Arabidopsis thaliana: one gene and its partner. The protein of the gene in region 1 interacts with the protein of each later gene in a biochemical or structural test. Each region holds a gene or a part of one and is shown in the gene's direction. Other genes may lie near its edges.

What was found.
Region 2: the proteins of AT2G41090 (region 1) and PMM form a complex in vitro, tested with the Arabidopsis thaliana proteins (one study listed by BioGRID).

What each region holds. Positions count from the first base shown.
Region 1 is NC_003071.7:17,130,728-17,137,925, forward strand, and holds AT2G41090 (Calcium-binding EF-hand family protein), read left to right. Parts: upstream 1-4,619; 5' UTR 4,620-5,095; coding exon 5,096-5,171; intron 5,172-5,274; coding exon 5,275-5,635; intron 5,636-5,752; coding exon 5,753-5,891; 3' UTR 5,892-6,272; downstream 6,273-7,198. Other genes in the region: EEL (Basic-leucine zipper (bZIP) transcription factor family protein), read left to right, coding at 513-1,157, 1,244-1,315, 1,401-1,481; AT2G41080 (pentatricopeptide (PPR) repeat protein), read left to right, coding at 1,875-3,827; AT2G41082 (uncharacterized protein), read left to right, coding at 4,098-4,202.
Region 2 is NC_003071.7:18,851,840-18,859,722, forward strand, and holds PMM (phosphomannomutase), read left to right. Parts: upstream 1-3,835; 5' UTR 3,836-4,036; coding exon 4,037-4,150; intron 4,151-4,242; coding exon 4,243-4,309; intron 4,310-4,707; coding exon 4,708-4,784; intron 4,785-4,867; coding exon 4,868-4,903; intron 4,904-5,029; coding exon 5,030-5,085; intron 5,086-5,169; coding exon 5,170-5,269; intron 5,270-5,349; coding exon 5,350-5,445; intron 5,446-5,530; coding exon 5,531-5,620; intron 5,621-5,718; coding exon 5,719-5,770; intron 5,771-5,861; coding exon 5,862-5,914; 3' UTR 5,915-6,179; downstream 6,180-7,883. Other genes in the region: CPFTSY (signal recognition particle receptor protein, chloroplast (FTSY)), read left to right, coding at 3-76, 188-246, 358-395, 568-688, 776-844, 937-1,019, 1,135-1,203, 1,299-1,361 and 1 more; PLIM2a (GATA type zinc finger transcription factor family protein), read right to left, coding at 6,314-6,730, 6,814-6,942, 7,034-7,168. UniProt on the Arabidopsis thaliana protein: Catalyzes the interconversion of mannose-6-phosphate to mannose-1-phosphate, the precursor for the synthesis of GDP-mannose.

The sequences.
Region 1 (7,198 bases):
TTTTAATTGAAATGTCCTCAGAGGCACAGTTTAAAGTTCGAGTGTAACAGTTTCTAAGGCAAAATAAGCTCTCTTTCTACTATTTCTCTTTCTCTTTCTACTATTTCTCTCCTGTGGAGAAACTCAGGAGATAGAGAGAGAGAGAGAGAAGAGAAGAGAGCATGTATGTTTGGTTTTATAATCTCTCTACTCATACCAAAGATTTGTCTCAGACCCACCACTTGGACAGAGAGAACCCAAGCTCCTTTCTCTCTTTTTCTCGATCTACTCCTTCTTAATCTCCTTTTTTGAAACTTGAAGCCACTTTCAACATCATCCTTAAACTTTTGTTCCCTTATTCACAATCTCCTGCCACCTCTCATTTCTCTAGTTGAGTTGTTATCTGCGTTTTTAAGCACTCGAATACTGCATGCAAATTCCCTGATTGTTTGTTAGTACCTTAGAGATTCTCGATTTTTTAGTTGTTTAGATTGAACCAGGATTACTAAATTGTTATTGTTTTCTGTGTAAAGGCTACATATATGGGTTCTATTAGAGGAAACATTGAAGAGCCTATATCTCAGTCATTAACGAGGCAGAACTCTCTCTATAGCTTAAAGCTCCATGAGGTTCAAACCCACTTAGGAAGTTCTGGAAAACCACTAGGAAGCATGAACCTTGATGAGCTTCTCAAGACTGTCTTGCCACCAGCTGAGGAAGGGCTTGTTCGTCAGGGAAGCTTGACGTTACCTCGAGATCTCAGTAAAAAGACAGTTGATGAGGTCTGGAGAGATATCCAACAGGACAAGAATGGAAACGGTACTAGTACTACTACTACTCATAAGCAGCCTACACTCGGTGAAATAACACTTGAGGATTTGTTGTTGAGAGCTGGTGTAGTGACTGAGACAGTAGTCCCTCAAGAAAATGTTGTTAACATAGCTTCAAATGGGCAATGGGTTGAGTATCATCATCAGCCTCAACAACAACAAGGGTTTATGACATATCCGGTTTGCGAGATGCAAGATATGGTGATGATGGGTGGATTATCGGATACACCACAAGCGCCTGGGAGGAAAAGAGTAGCTGGAGAGATTGTGGAGAAGACTGTTGAGAGGAGACAGAAGAGGATGATCAAGAACAGAGAATCTGCAGCACGTTCACGAGCTAGGAAACAGGTTAAGAACTTGACATTGTGTTTTTACTTAGTTAATATTTGTTTGTTTGTTGTTAGTTGGTCTAGTCATCACATTGAAACTTGCAGGCTTATACACATGAATTAGAGATCAAGGTTTCAAGGTTAGAAGAAGAAAACGAAAAACTTCGGAGGCTAAAGGTAAAAATCCCATCTCTGCAGCTTGCTTCATGATCTAGTGTCGTTTTAGATTTAGTGGTTTTCTTTAATCTGATTATAATGGCAGGAGGTGGAGAAGATCCTACCAAGTGAACCACCACCAGATCCTAAGTGGAAGCTCCGGCGAACAAACTCTGCTTCTCTCTGATCCTAAAGACTCTTCTTTCTTTCTTCTTCTTTGTGTTGGTTTATATCAGACCGCTTTGTTCTTTGTATATTGTGTAGACTTTATTGACTTTGAACAGCATGTCTTTATAAACATTTCTTGAGTGTATTCCTCTTTTGCAGCTAGTTCAAACTTTTTGAGTACAAACACTAGTTCAAGTATGAATTCGACAATAGTTTTAGTACCTTACACAATTAAGCAATAGATTGATGGTTATGCTAAACCGTTTTTGATACTTGGTTACTAATACTTATTGGGCTTCTGATTACGGCCCAATTAAATCGAGTGTCTAATTATTCGTTCCTTCTTCTTCTTCGAGCAACGACAGTCCCTGAGAATCCAAATCGGAAACAATCTCCGGCAATTCAATAGTAAATGCGTTGCTCAGTTTCCTCTGTTGTTCGTCCACTATCAGTAGATCCTGCGACAGCCATAGCTACTTTGTGCTCAAAGGGTAACCTTCGAGAAGCTTTCCAGAGATTCCGACTCAACATCTTCACAAACACTTCTCTCTTCACCCCTTTTATTCAATCATGCACCACCAGACAATCTCTTCCGTCCGGAAAGCAGCTCCATTGTCTTCTCGTCGTCTCCGGATTCTCCTCCGACAAGTTCATATGCAATCATCTGATGAGCATGTACTCCAAGCTTGGAGATTTTCCTTCCGCTGTTGCAGTATATGGACGTATGCGTAAGAAGAATTATATGTCATCTAACATACTCATCAATGGGTATGTTCGTGCAGGCGATTTGGTAAATGCCCGGAAGGTGTTTGATGAAATGCCTGATAGAAAGCTCACAACTTGGAATGCTATGATTGCTGGTTTGATCCAGTTTGAGTTTAACGAAGAGGGTTTGAGTTTGTTTAGGGAAATGCACGGATTGGGGTTTTCGCCTGATGAATATACTCTTGGTAGTGTTTTTAGCGGATCTGCTGGGTTGAGGTCAGTGTCTATAGGGCAGCAGATTCATGGCTACACGATCAAATATGGGCTTGAGTTGGATTTAGTTGTTAATAGTTCGTTGGCTCATATGTATATGAGAAATGGGAAATTGCAAGATGGCGAGATTGTTATAAGATCAATGCCGGTTCGTAATTTGGTTGCATGGAATACACTCATCATGGGGAACGCGCAAAACGGATGTCCTGAAACCGTGCTTTATCTGTATAAGATGATGAAAATCTCAGGTTGTAGGCCGAACAAGATCACATTTGTAACTGTGCTCAGTTCTTGTTCTGACTTAGCGATAAGAGGTCAAGGTCAGCAGATTCATGCGGAAGCTATTAAAATTGGGGCTAGCTCTGTCGTAGCTGTAGTTAGTTCATTGATCAGTATGTATTCAAAATGTGGGTGTCTTGGAGATGCAGCTAAAGCTTTCTCGGAACGTGAAGATGAAGATGAAGTGATGTGGAGCTCAATGATTTCTGCTTATGGGTTTCATGGACAAGGCGATGAGGCAATCGAGCTGTTTAATACTATGGCAGAGCAGACGAACATGGAGATAAACGAGGTCGCGTTTCTGAATTTACTTTATGCGTGTAGTCATTCTGGCTTAAAAGACAAAGGGCTTGAGTTGTTTGACATGATGGTGGAAAAATACGGGTTCAAGCCAGGTTTAAAGCACTACACTTGTGTGGTGGATTTGCTCGGTCGAGCAGGCTGTTTGGATCAAGCCGAGGCAATAATAAGGTCTATGCCAATAAAAACAGACATTGTTATATGGAAAACATTGTTATCTGCGTGTAACATACACAAAAACGCAGAAATGGCACAGAGAGTCTTTAAAGAGATTCTTCAGATTGACCCTAATGACTCTGCTTGTTACGTCCTGCTTGCAAATGTTCACGCCTCAGCTAAGAGATGGCGCGATGTATCAGAGGTGAGAAAATCGATGAGAGATAAGAATGTGAAGAAAGAAGCGGGAATCAGCTGGTTTGAACACAAAGGTGAAGTTCATCAGTTTAAGATGGGAGATCGCTCTCAGTCTAAATCTAAAGAGATCTATTCATACCTGAAAGAACTGACTCTGGAGATGAAGCTGAAGGGATACAAGCCTGATACAGCGTCAGTATTGCATGATATGGATGAGGAGGAGAAAGAATCAGACTTGGTGCAGCACAGCGAGAAACTAGCGGTTGCATTTGCGCTCATGATATTACCTGAAGGTGCACCGATTAGAATAATCAAGAACTTGCGGGTTTGCAGTGATTGCCATGTTGCTTTCAAATATATATCGGTGATCAAGAACCGAGAGATCACGTTAAGAGATGGTAGTAGATTCCATCATTTCATTAACGGAAAGTGTTCTTGCGGCGATTATTGGTAGCTGGGCAGTTAAAGTATGCTATGACTCTCTGCTTCAGAGTCTTTCTGGAGTCTTAAGCACTCAGATTGGATCGGGAAGCCATCTGGGACGAAAGCATTCAGCAGCAAGGGTAAAATTACACTGCGGGTAGTAGCTTTGTAGTCTACCTTGAGATTGCTCCTGCCTGTGTTATTCTTGAGTCAGGAACATGAAGTGGTTTGCTGTCAACTTTACTTACTCAAGCCATCTCCGCAAGGTAGAAACTATGGTTCGCGTTATTTCGTATGTACCATGTTTTTGGTCGTTTGTGTAGTTTCTAACCTTCCACACCCTTGGCTTGCGATTCTTTCCAAAGCAGAGATGTTAGATCAGAGGATGGAGTGGGTTCTCAAGTAGAATGCACTTGCGAATCCCTCAGATCAGATTTTTCATAGGTAAAGTTCGTTAACTTCAACAACACCACTTTAGTAAACATGTGATAATCAATCGTCATAAGCATCTTCGATTCATTTTTATCTTATGCAAGTGTTTGCTTTATTATGATTTGTTAAGTTTTGCATAAATACGGACGTTGAAGCACTTCCCAGAACTCATGAGTGTTTTTATAAACTATTTATTAAAAGTTAGTATAAGAAAACTATAACATAAAAGTAAAATATAATTTAGACAAATGTAGCGATTGGTCCAGTTACTCATCCAAAATTCCAAATGAATCTTCCACCGTTGATAATTCTATTCCATTGTTTTCTTCTGTAGAAGACCATATATTATTAAGTCTCTAGTCCATTGTCAATAAATGGAAATACAAAAAAAAAAAAAAAAAAAAAAAGAAGAAGAAGAAAAAGACAGCATTTAATGAACGAAAATAATATTAATGAATTTGGAAGAAGGAACGAACCAACGAGAAAAATCAACGAAATAATTTAGACAAATGTAGCGATTGGTCCACTACCCATCCAAAAGTCCAAATGAATACTTCACCGTTGATAATTCTATTCAATTGTTTTCTTCTGTAGAAGACCATATATTATTAAGTCTCTAGTCCATTGTAAATAAATGTTTCTTTCAAATAAATGGAAATACAAAAAAGAAAAGAAAAAAAAGACAGCATTTAATGATGATAACGATTTGGAAGAAGGAACCAACCAATTAGAGTAACAAACCAAGGAGGCGACTCACATGAAAGCAAAAGCTGACATGGCAGTGAATTCAGTTTTATAAAAAAGGCTTCAAGGCCGAGAGTTCGTAGTACAAACTCTTCTCTCAGTCATCACAGAAAATAAAAAACAATGGCGAATAAGTTCACTAGACAACAGATTTCAGAGTTTAGGGAACAGTTCAGCGTATACGACAAGAATGGTGATGGTATGGTTCATCGTCTCTATTCCTCTAATCGTACATATTGGATCCTGAATCATCTTCAAAGCACTGAAAATGACTAACACAAGTCCTTGATTACTTCTTGTAGGTCACATTACCACAGAGGAGTTCGGTGCCGTGATGCGTTCCCTCGGTTTAAACCTGACCCAAGCTGAGCTTCAGGAGGAGATCAACGATTCGGATTTAGATGGTGACGGAACCATCAATTTCACTGAGTTCTTGTGCGCAATGGCTAAGGACACTTACTCTGAGAAAGACCTCAAGAAAGATTTCAGACTCTTTGACATAGACAAGAATGGTTTCATCTCAGCTGCTGAAATGAGATATGTGAGGACTATCCTCCGGTGGAAGCAAACTGATGAAGAAATCGATGAGATTATCAAGGCAGCTGATGTTGATGGTGATGGTCAGATCAACTACAGAGAGTTTGCCAGGCTTATGATGGCCAAGTGAGATTTAAACAACTTTTCCGCTTCCCCTTTTTTTACTACCTCTTATCTAATTTCATAAAGAATGTTCCTCTCTTGTTCTTAAATTTCATTCTGAGTTCTTGTGTGTATGGCTAGGAATCAAGGTCATGATACTAAATATGACACAACTGGTGGCACTTTGGAGAGGGACTTGGCGGCCGGGGTTGCCAAAAATATCATCGCAGCGCCAATGACCGACTTCATCAAAAATTTGTTCGAAGCGTTGTTTTCTTGAAATGGTACATCAGTAACTTTATGCCATTAGGGTCTGGCTGGTATGTTAGATCTCTCTAAAAAGGCGTTTGATCTTTGAAAATAATTTCTATGTAATAAATTTATTGTGTTACCATCTTTTCTTGCATGCAATTTATTAAAATGAGTTTGTAATATGGTTTCAGTATCGAATATAATTGGGGTATCAATGTATCTTTTGAGAAAAACATTTAAAACGTAGCAGAACTAATTATTGAAAACTGGTAGCATTACTAAAAATTGATCTAAATCGGTTAATGATTTGGCACATACAGTGATCAAATCAGCTAAGCCTCATATCTCACCGTCCCAGAGTTCTTCAAGACTCTTATAAGGACTCATCTAATGAATAATGACATGCCTCGCACCAACCTGCCCTGCAACATTGAAAACACACGTCTACAATTTCGATAACCCAAGTGTTTTGAGCAAAACAAAGGACGCCCTTTGACCCATTTGGACTACAATGTGTGGAAAATTACTGCATGTTCAATATCAGAAAACTTGGATAACATGTCTTCGATATGGGCTTTTCTTATTTTGTACCCGTGTAATTTCGCTGGCCCAAAATCCAAAGCAACAAGGGTAAATTTGTATGCAGTACATGTGGCATGTTGGGTCATATGGAAACAGGTCACAAGACTCAGATTCTTTACATTGCGGCGGGTAGTAGTAGCTTTCTAGTCTACCTTGAGATTGCCCCTGCCCGTGATTCTTGAGTCGGGCACAGGAAGTGGTTTTCTGTCAACTTTACTTGCTCAAGCCATCCCCGCAAGGTAGAAACTTCTGTGGTCTTTCTCGTTATTTCTTATGTACCATGTTTTTGGTCGTTTGTGTAGTTTCTTCTAACCTTCCACACACTTGTCTTGCGAATTCCTTCCACAGCAGAGATGTTAAATCAGGAATATTCAGGATGTAGAAACTTCTCTGCTCTTTCTCAAGTAGAATGCACTTGTGGAATCCCTCAGATCAGATTTCATTGGTAACGTTCGTTAACTTCAACAACAACACTTTACTAAACATGTGCTAATCAATTGTCATACGCTTGTATTTCTTCGATTCATTTTTATCTTATGCAAGTGTTTTCTCTATTATGATTTATTTAGTTTTGCATAAATAAGGACACTCCTTCGGAGTCAGTATAAGAAAACTATAACCTAAAATATAAATTAGGCAAATGTCCACTCACCCATCCAAAATTCCATTGTAAATAAATGTTTCTTTCAAATAAATGAAAAAAAAAAAAAAAAACAAGTTGGAAGAAGGAACCAACCAAGTAATTGCCAGTCA
Region 2 (7,883 bases), 1.7 Mb from region 1:
AGGATGCATTGAAGGAAAGTGTGTTGGAGATGCTGGCTAAGAAAAACAGCAAGACAGAGCTTCAATTGGGTTTTAGGTTCTCTTCATTTAGCTGTGTTACTTGTTATTCTTTCACGCCTCTGCTCTGTTGAAGTGGAGTTATGAAAGATTGTGGTTCTAAGTCTGGTTATATGTTATGGTGTATCAGGAAACCAGCTGTTATAATGATTGTTGGAGTGAACGGAGGTGGGAAGACGACATCTCTTGGTAAGGAAATTGGCATTAATGCTTTAGAGTGGGAATTCAAATGACTAGCTGGTTTGCTTTGGCTTAGCCACAGAAAGATTTATGTGAAAGATTCTGGCTTTTGTTTTTCAGGAAAGCTGGCTCATAGATTGAAAAATGAAGGAACTAAGGTACACCTTTCATGTTTGATATCATGTAAACTAGATCCTTTTTGTTCTTCTCTTGAGAGTTGAGACTAGAAAGTGGTTGCTCAAATAGGTGATGAGAAATTTTGCCAGGGTAGGTAGAAATAGAATTGAGTATCAGTATGTTCATCAGCAATCCTGCGATGATTTGTCATAGGTATTAATGGCAGCAGGTGATACATTTAGAGCAGCAGCAAGTGACCAATTAGAGATATGGGCAGAGAGGACTGGGTGTGAGATTGTTGTGGCTGAAGGAGACAAGGCTAAAGCAGCCACGGGTAAACCAATGCATTGTTATTTTGGCTTGCCAGTATCGGTGTTTGGTGCACAAACAACTTTAACATGTTTGTTCTGTTTCTGAATAGTTCTCTCAAAGGCTGTGAAAAGGGGGAAGGAGGAAGGTTATGATGTTGTACTGTGCGACACATCTGGACGTAAGCATACAAGAGTTTGCTTGCTGACTTAAAAAACATGCTTATGTACCGTCTTTACTGAATCTGAGGAACATTACACCTCTTTATGTAAGGTCTCCATACTAATTACAGTTTGATGGAGGAGTTGATTGCGTGCAAAAAAGCAGTGGGCAAGATTGTCTCTGGTGCACCTAATGTGAGTGAGCCTTTTTACTTATCCTATTCTGTTATCTTGCTTATATTATTACACTCTGTTAGTCTCCAATTTCGATCATGCGTTAGCTAAAAATAATATTTTACGGAATTGTTAGGAGATCCTACTTGTCCTTGATGGAAACACTGGTTTGAACATGCTTCCACAAGCTAGAGAATTCAACGAGGTACCATACGAAACTACCTAAACCTAGTGATTCTGGCTCCCCAAACTAGAATTTCTTCGTAAAATCTTGAGGTTTCTGGGTTACATTTTTTTCAGGTTGTTGGTATCACCGGTTTGATATTGACGAAACTAGATGGCTCTGCTAGAGGAGGCTGTGTGGTAAATATCTCATAAAATTTTTGATCTCATTCAAAGCTCTTATTTTTCATTAGCTCTGTCATTGAAACTGGTTCTCCATGTCTTGCAGGTCAGTGTGGTTGAGGAATTGGGCATTCCCGTAAAGTTTATCGGTGTAGGAGAAGCTGTAGAAGATCTCCAACCTTTTGATCCGGAGGCTTTTGTGAATGCTATATTCTCTTAAGCCATAAAACCTCGTCTTCTTCAAAAAGCTATCATCTTCAACGCAGGCCAGAGCCAAGTGGAAAATTCACAGTGAATTCGCCGGAGATGCAAATGGAAGCATTCCTTATTTTCTTGGAGATCTTAGGTTGACAAGCTTTTTCTGCAATGGATGCAAGTTTCGATTTTTAATGATGTGACAAAGCTCGTTTGCACACTGATAGTGATCACACAAGAATGTAACGAGTCATAGGAACTGCTTGTGTCTCGTCTCACTACTATTTTGTATATTGTTAATGTTGTATTTGAAAGGAATTACAAAGATTGATAAAAGAACAATGAGGGGAGGAAAACCGTAAAAAAGAAAGAAAAAAAAATGAAACTTTTTTAAAAAATATTCATAACTTGTATATAATCCACAAAACGATGCAAAGGTCAAATGACATGATCCATAATTCGATTAGTTTTCATATCATTTTGTAAAAATTAATATTCAAATTTAAAAATAAAAACTGTAAAAATGAAAGAATAAAAAACAAAAATTTAAAACTTTTGAAAATATATTAATATGAAACTTGTATATTAATTCTACAAAACATTGTGAAAACAAGTTGAATTAGTGGTATCGGCATACGACTTCAAATGACAAGATCCAAAATCCGGTTAATTTTTATTTTATTTTGTAAATCTAATATCCAAATTAAAAGTTAAAAACCATAAAAAAGAAAAAAAAACAAAAATTTTAAAATTTTTCGAAAATGTTAATAATTTGTATATTAGATCTACAAAACGATGCGAAAACAAGTTAAATTAGTGGAATCGGCTAACGATCAAAAACTGTAAGAAAGAAAAGAACAAAAATAAAATTTATAAAAAACCTCTTAGAAAAATATTAATAACATGTATATTAAATCTATAAAACGATGTGAAAAACAAGTTGAATTAGTGGAATCGGCTAACGATCAAATGACTAGGTCAAATGACAGGATCCAAAATCCGGTTAGTTTCCATATCATTTTGTAAATTTAATATCCAAATTAAAATTTGAAAACCGTAAGAAAGAAAAGAACAAAAATCACCTTTAAAAAAAATATATTAATAACTTGTATATTAAATCTACTAAACGATGCGAAAACAAGTTGAATTTGTGGAATCGGCTAACGATCAAATGATTAGGTCAAATGACAGGATTCAAAATCCGGTCAGCTTTCATATCATTTTATAAATTTAATATCCAAATTAAATTTGAAAACCCTTAGATGGGAAAAAATCAAAATTTTAAAACCTTATAAAAAAATATTCATAACTTCTATCTCAGTTTGTAAATCTAAGTAATTTAAGGGCTAAAAAGAAAATAGGGCTAAGAATTGACTTTTATGGCGGGCTGAAATTGATATTGTTGGGCTTTGAAGAATTGCACCTTAGTCCTGAGCCCAAACGACACCATCTCTAATCTTACGGCAAAGCAGTCCTCCACCAGACCACCACCGTTATCGGAAACGAATTCCCCAGTCTCTCCGTCGCGATCTCCGTCGCTGATTGTCACGAATTACGATTCACGAAGCCGAATATTTTTATTGAAATAACCATTAGAACTTAGAACCGCCAAAACAGATCCTAGAGCGAGTATCTTCACCGCCATAGCGTTCATGCAAGTCTTCGTCACCGGATCTTCACTAGCGCCGACGATATAATTAGAAAAAACCATAACCGTTTCTCTGAACCGCTGATCGATTAGGTTATATACAAAGAAGACTTTTGAAGATCCTCAACGTAAAGAGGATTCGATTCTAGGGTTTTTTTCTTCTCCTTAGTGCGAGATTTTCTTATCTCTTAATGATGAAGTAAGTCCGTATTTATAGATTGGTGTGAGTTAATTAATTTCCTTTTTTTATAAAACAAAATATTACCGTTACATTACATATTCTCCGGTTTACCGTTGCATACAACCGTTTAATATAAACGTTGCATACAACCGTTTAATATAAACGTTGCTGTGTGAAGTGCACGCTCTTGTTCCTCTTATCATTTGTGTGAAAATACATCAAATATCACCTTGTTTTTTTGTCAAGTGCTCTCGTTTGAATTTTTTTTTGGTTATAAAGTCATATTTCCCAATTTGCATAATGATATACAAATATAAACCGGATGGCCCAAAAAGGCGAAAACCATTAGTAGTACTGGCCCAAATTGCTTCTTCATAAAATTAATTGTTTTCGGCCTCAATACTATTTCATGTTTTTTGGGTCAACAACGTCCAAGTACCCTTTATATAACATAAATAAGGATTGTTAGAAAAGAATAATTTTGATGTGTCACGATTATTTTATCAACCAATCACTGATCTCTAGGAGAAAAAGTGAGGACCCATAGTTTAAGCGACACTCTTTGGTTAAAGAATAAAGATTAGATCGGTCCAATTTATATATTTACATGTTCCGCCATTATCATCTTCTAATTTGAAAACTCTTCATCATTCCCTACCACCGGATTCAATGGCGGCGAAAATTCCCGGAGTGATCGCTTTGTTCGACGTCGACGGTACTCTCACAGCTCCAAGGAAGGAAGCTACTCCAGAATTGCTCGATTTTATCCGAGAATTGCGAAAGGTATCTCATTGATCCATCGTTGCTAAGTTCCGTTTCTGTTGGTTGTGTTTATGCCTACTTAGTGTTTGATATAATGTATGTGAGAGTTTCAGGTCGTCACTATTGGAGTCGTCGGTGGATCTGATCTAAGTAAGATATCTGAGCAGCTTGGCAAAACAGGTACGACTGTGATCGGATCGGAAAAACTATAACCTGCTGTAGAATTTTCGATTTGGTATTCAAAGAAAGGATATTTTCCTACTTCTATTAGAATGGTCTCTTTTGCTCTTTTCTACTATATATGGATGGATCCTTTAAAAGTGGAGACAAACTATATAGATTTTCTCTGCTTCAAATCTTTGACTAGATCCATTAGTAGCATGCATACAGAAGATCCTTGAAGTCTGTAGATTTGGAATTTGGGATAGCTGCTGATCATTAAGTTGGTTGAGTTCAAATTGTGGAATGAGTTTGATTTACCTAAGTCTTAGTTCAAGAAGGAGTTTTAGATCTGGCTCTAATTTTCTTGCCTTGTGAGATTCTCTTGGCTTAAACTTTTGAATTTGTAAATTTTGCAGTCACAAACGACTATGATTATTGTTTCTCTGAGAATGGTCTTGTCGCCCATAAAGATGGGAAATCCATTGGAATTCAGGTGCATATGAACCTATAGCTTTACTTACTTACATCCACATTGTTGTTTTATCGTTTCTTAATAGTTTGTATCTTTTTTCTCAGAGCCTGAAGCTGCACCTTGGAGACGATAAACTCAAGGTAAACTCATATCACTGTCCTTCATGTGTCGTAGCAGCAGTTGCTTTAGTGGTTTTATTGATGTTGAAGTGTATGCAAGTATATATGTATATAGATAGTTTCTGATAGCGTAAATTGATGATGCAGGAGTTGATAAATTTCACGCTGCACTACATTGCAGACCTGGATATTCCAATTAAGAGGTATAACGTGGATCCAACTGCTAGTCTCTAATCATGTTTGCAAAGTGATAAGATGATTTATTTTCTTGAAATTTGTATACATAGGGGAACATTTATTGAATTCCGAAATGGAATGCTCAATGTATCACCCATTGGTCGCAACTGCAGCCAAGAAGAAAGAGATGAATTTGAGAGATATGATAAGGTAGAAGAAACTATATTTAGTTTGTTCAATTTCTTATAGAATATATTTTGAGCATTGTCATTCAACACTTTTTTTAAAAGGTTCAAAACATCCGACCAAAGATGGTAGCTGAACTTCGTGAGCGGTTTGCACATCTTAACCTTACTTTCTCAATTGGGGGACAGATAAGCTTCGATGTGAGTAGAATCAAAATGTGGATTATAACAATTTCTTAAATCCATTTTTTGAGTCACTGAGTCTAATCAAATTGTTATGACTTAGGTCTTCCCTAAAGGTTGGGATAAGACTTACTGCTTGCAATACCTCGAGGACTTCAGTGAAATCCATTTCTTCGGTGACAAGACCTATGAGGTATAAGACTCATCTCAACTCTGCAAATCTATTCATTAGAGTTGTTGTATGGTTTCCGTTGAGCTTGATGGGTAAAAATATGGCTTTTACTTCTGCAGGGTGGAAATGACTATGAAATCTATGAATCACCAAAAACAATTGGCCATTCAGGTCAGCTACTTGGATATATTATCGTTTAATCTCTGTATGTTTGTGTTGCGAGATATTTTCATGACAAATAGGATTGTTTCTGTTGTTGCAGTTACGAGTCCAGATGACACAGTGGCAAAATGCAAGGCTCTGTTCATGTCTTGAAACACTACTCATCTCAAGAACACAGTGTCAAGAGTTTGATTCTTCTTTGGCGAAATCTCACAACTCTTGATTACAAGAAATGGAGAGAAGTGTGTTTGAATGCTATCTATACCGTATGTTTTGAATTTTGATTCATCAAATAAAATATCTTGTTATAACCTTTTGTTTCAGAACATGGTCCTCAAAGTTTTAAAACTAAAGGTTAAAAATATCCTCTTCAAAAAAAATTGGATGTTAAAGATTTTGTTTACAACAGATTCTCTCCAAAAAGAGCTTTAAAACTTTACAAGAATTTACAAGAAGAAACAACAACAATTTGTATTTATATATTCATTAAACAGAAACGCATATAAAAACTTCAAACTTGAGAACTGATAAGATCATTCCTCCACGACATTTTCAAGACTCAACGACCGGCTCAGGCTCCTCTTCTCCTGCAGCTTCAGGGGCAGCGTCATCTTCTTTTGCTTCGGGAATTGAGGCGGTGTCGTCAGGTTTGTGATCATCAGAAGGAGGAGAAGCGCCACCAGAAGAGGCGGATCGACGGTGGTTAGCAGCGGCTTGATGGACGTGATTGTAACTGCCTTTCTCGAGAAAGAGCTGATTGAAGTGGACTTTACAGTAGAGGACGCCATTAAGAGAAGCGTAAGAAGAGTGAGTCAAAGGACAACCACTGTGTGTGCACCTGAAGCAAGTCTTGTGGTAACTTTCTCCTTCCATTGTTACTTTCTCAAGTGGGTAAACCGTCTTCTTACAAGTCGCACATTTGTCTTGTGTTCCACTGAAGAATGATGATAACTTGCTTGGAGTTCGAGTCTTGCAGTATCCATCAATTGAGACAAATCAGATGAAAAAAAAGAGGAAATAAAAACAAGATGATGAATCTTTGAAGACATTACCAGATGATCATTGGGCTTCTCGGTCTTTCCTGCCTGAAAATTCTTGCTGTAATTGCCAGATTCTTTGAAAAGCTGTTCGAAGTGTGGCTTACAGTAAAGAACTCCATCCATTGATGAGTAATTGCTTATCTGTGTTAAGAAAAGATGTGGTCTTTTAAAACAATGAAGCATTGTCGAAAAACAGAGTAACAATGGAGGAAGAAGAAGAAAAGAGAAATACCACGAGAGTGCCTTTGCAATGGGTGCATCTGAAACATGATTTGTGATAAGTATTACCCTCTAATGTTAACAAATCCATCACGTACACGGTTTTGTCACAGGCCTTGCATTTATCCAATGTTCCTGTAAACGACATTTTCTCTCTTTCTTTCGGATGTTAGATTCAAAAAGTTTGTTCTTCGTTCGCCGGTTCTTGTCTTAGGACACGACCAAACGACGACGAGAGAAAAAACACCAGGTTTTGTGTTTTTTTCTTTTCATCTCTCAAGTTCTCTGTCTTATTTATCAAAAATTCTTGAAGAAATGAGAATTTGTGGTAATTTTGGTTCTAGTGGTAGAGATTCGAAAGAGGAGAAGCCATTCAATCATTGTCGATCATCAAAATTCTAATTTCAATTTTACAATTTTAGACTCCGAGCACAATGAAGGGTATCGACGTTTTCAGCCGTACGCTCTGTTTGCGGAAGATCCGAAGATCTATTTTTAAAAATTACGAGAGAATAATGATAAATACAAAGAAATGTGGGGGTTATTTCATAATTATACGAACGTACAAGGCTAATTTAGTGAAATAAATGTGGATAAGAGTGAGTGAAACTGAAGAAGAGCCTGTCCGTGTAATGAAAATCCACTTGACGACCTAAACAACAACAACGACTCCGGCGAGTGTATGTATCTTTCACTTTCTCACTAACCAACCAGACGACAAAAGAAAATTATTCATCTTAGCTAAGCTCGATTAGTTTCTGGCGGAAACGGTTTTGTGGATAATTGTTAGCATATTCCGATCTTGCCCTCCCCCGAGAGAGAGAGTCCAATCAATCAATCAATCAATCATCTCTTACGAAGCT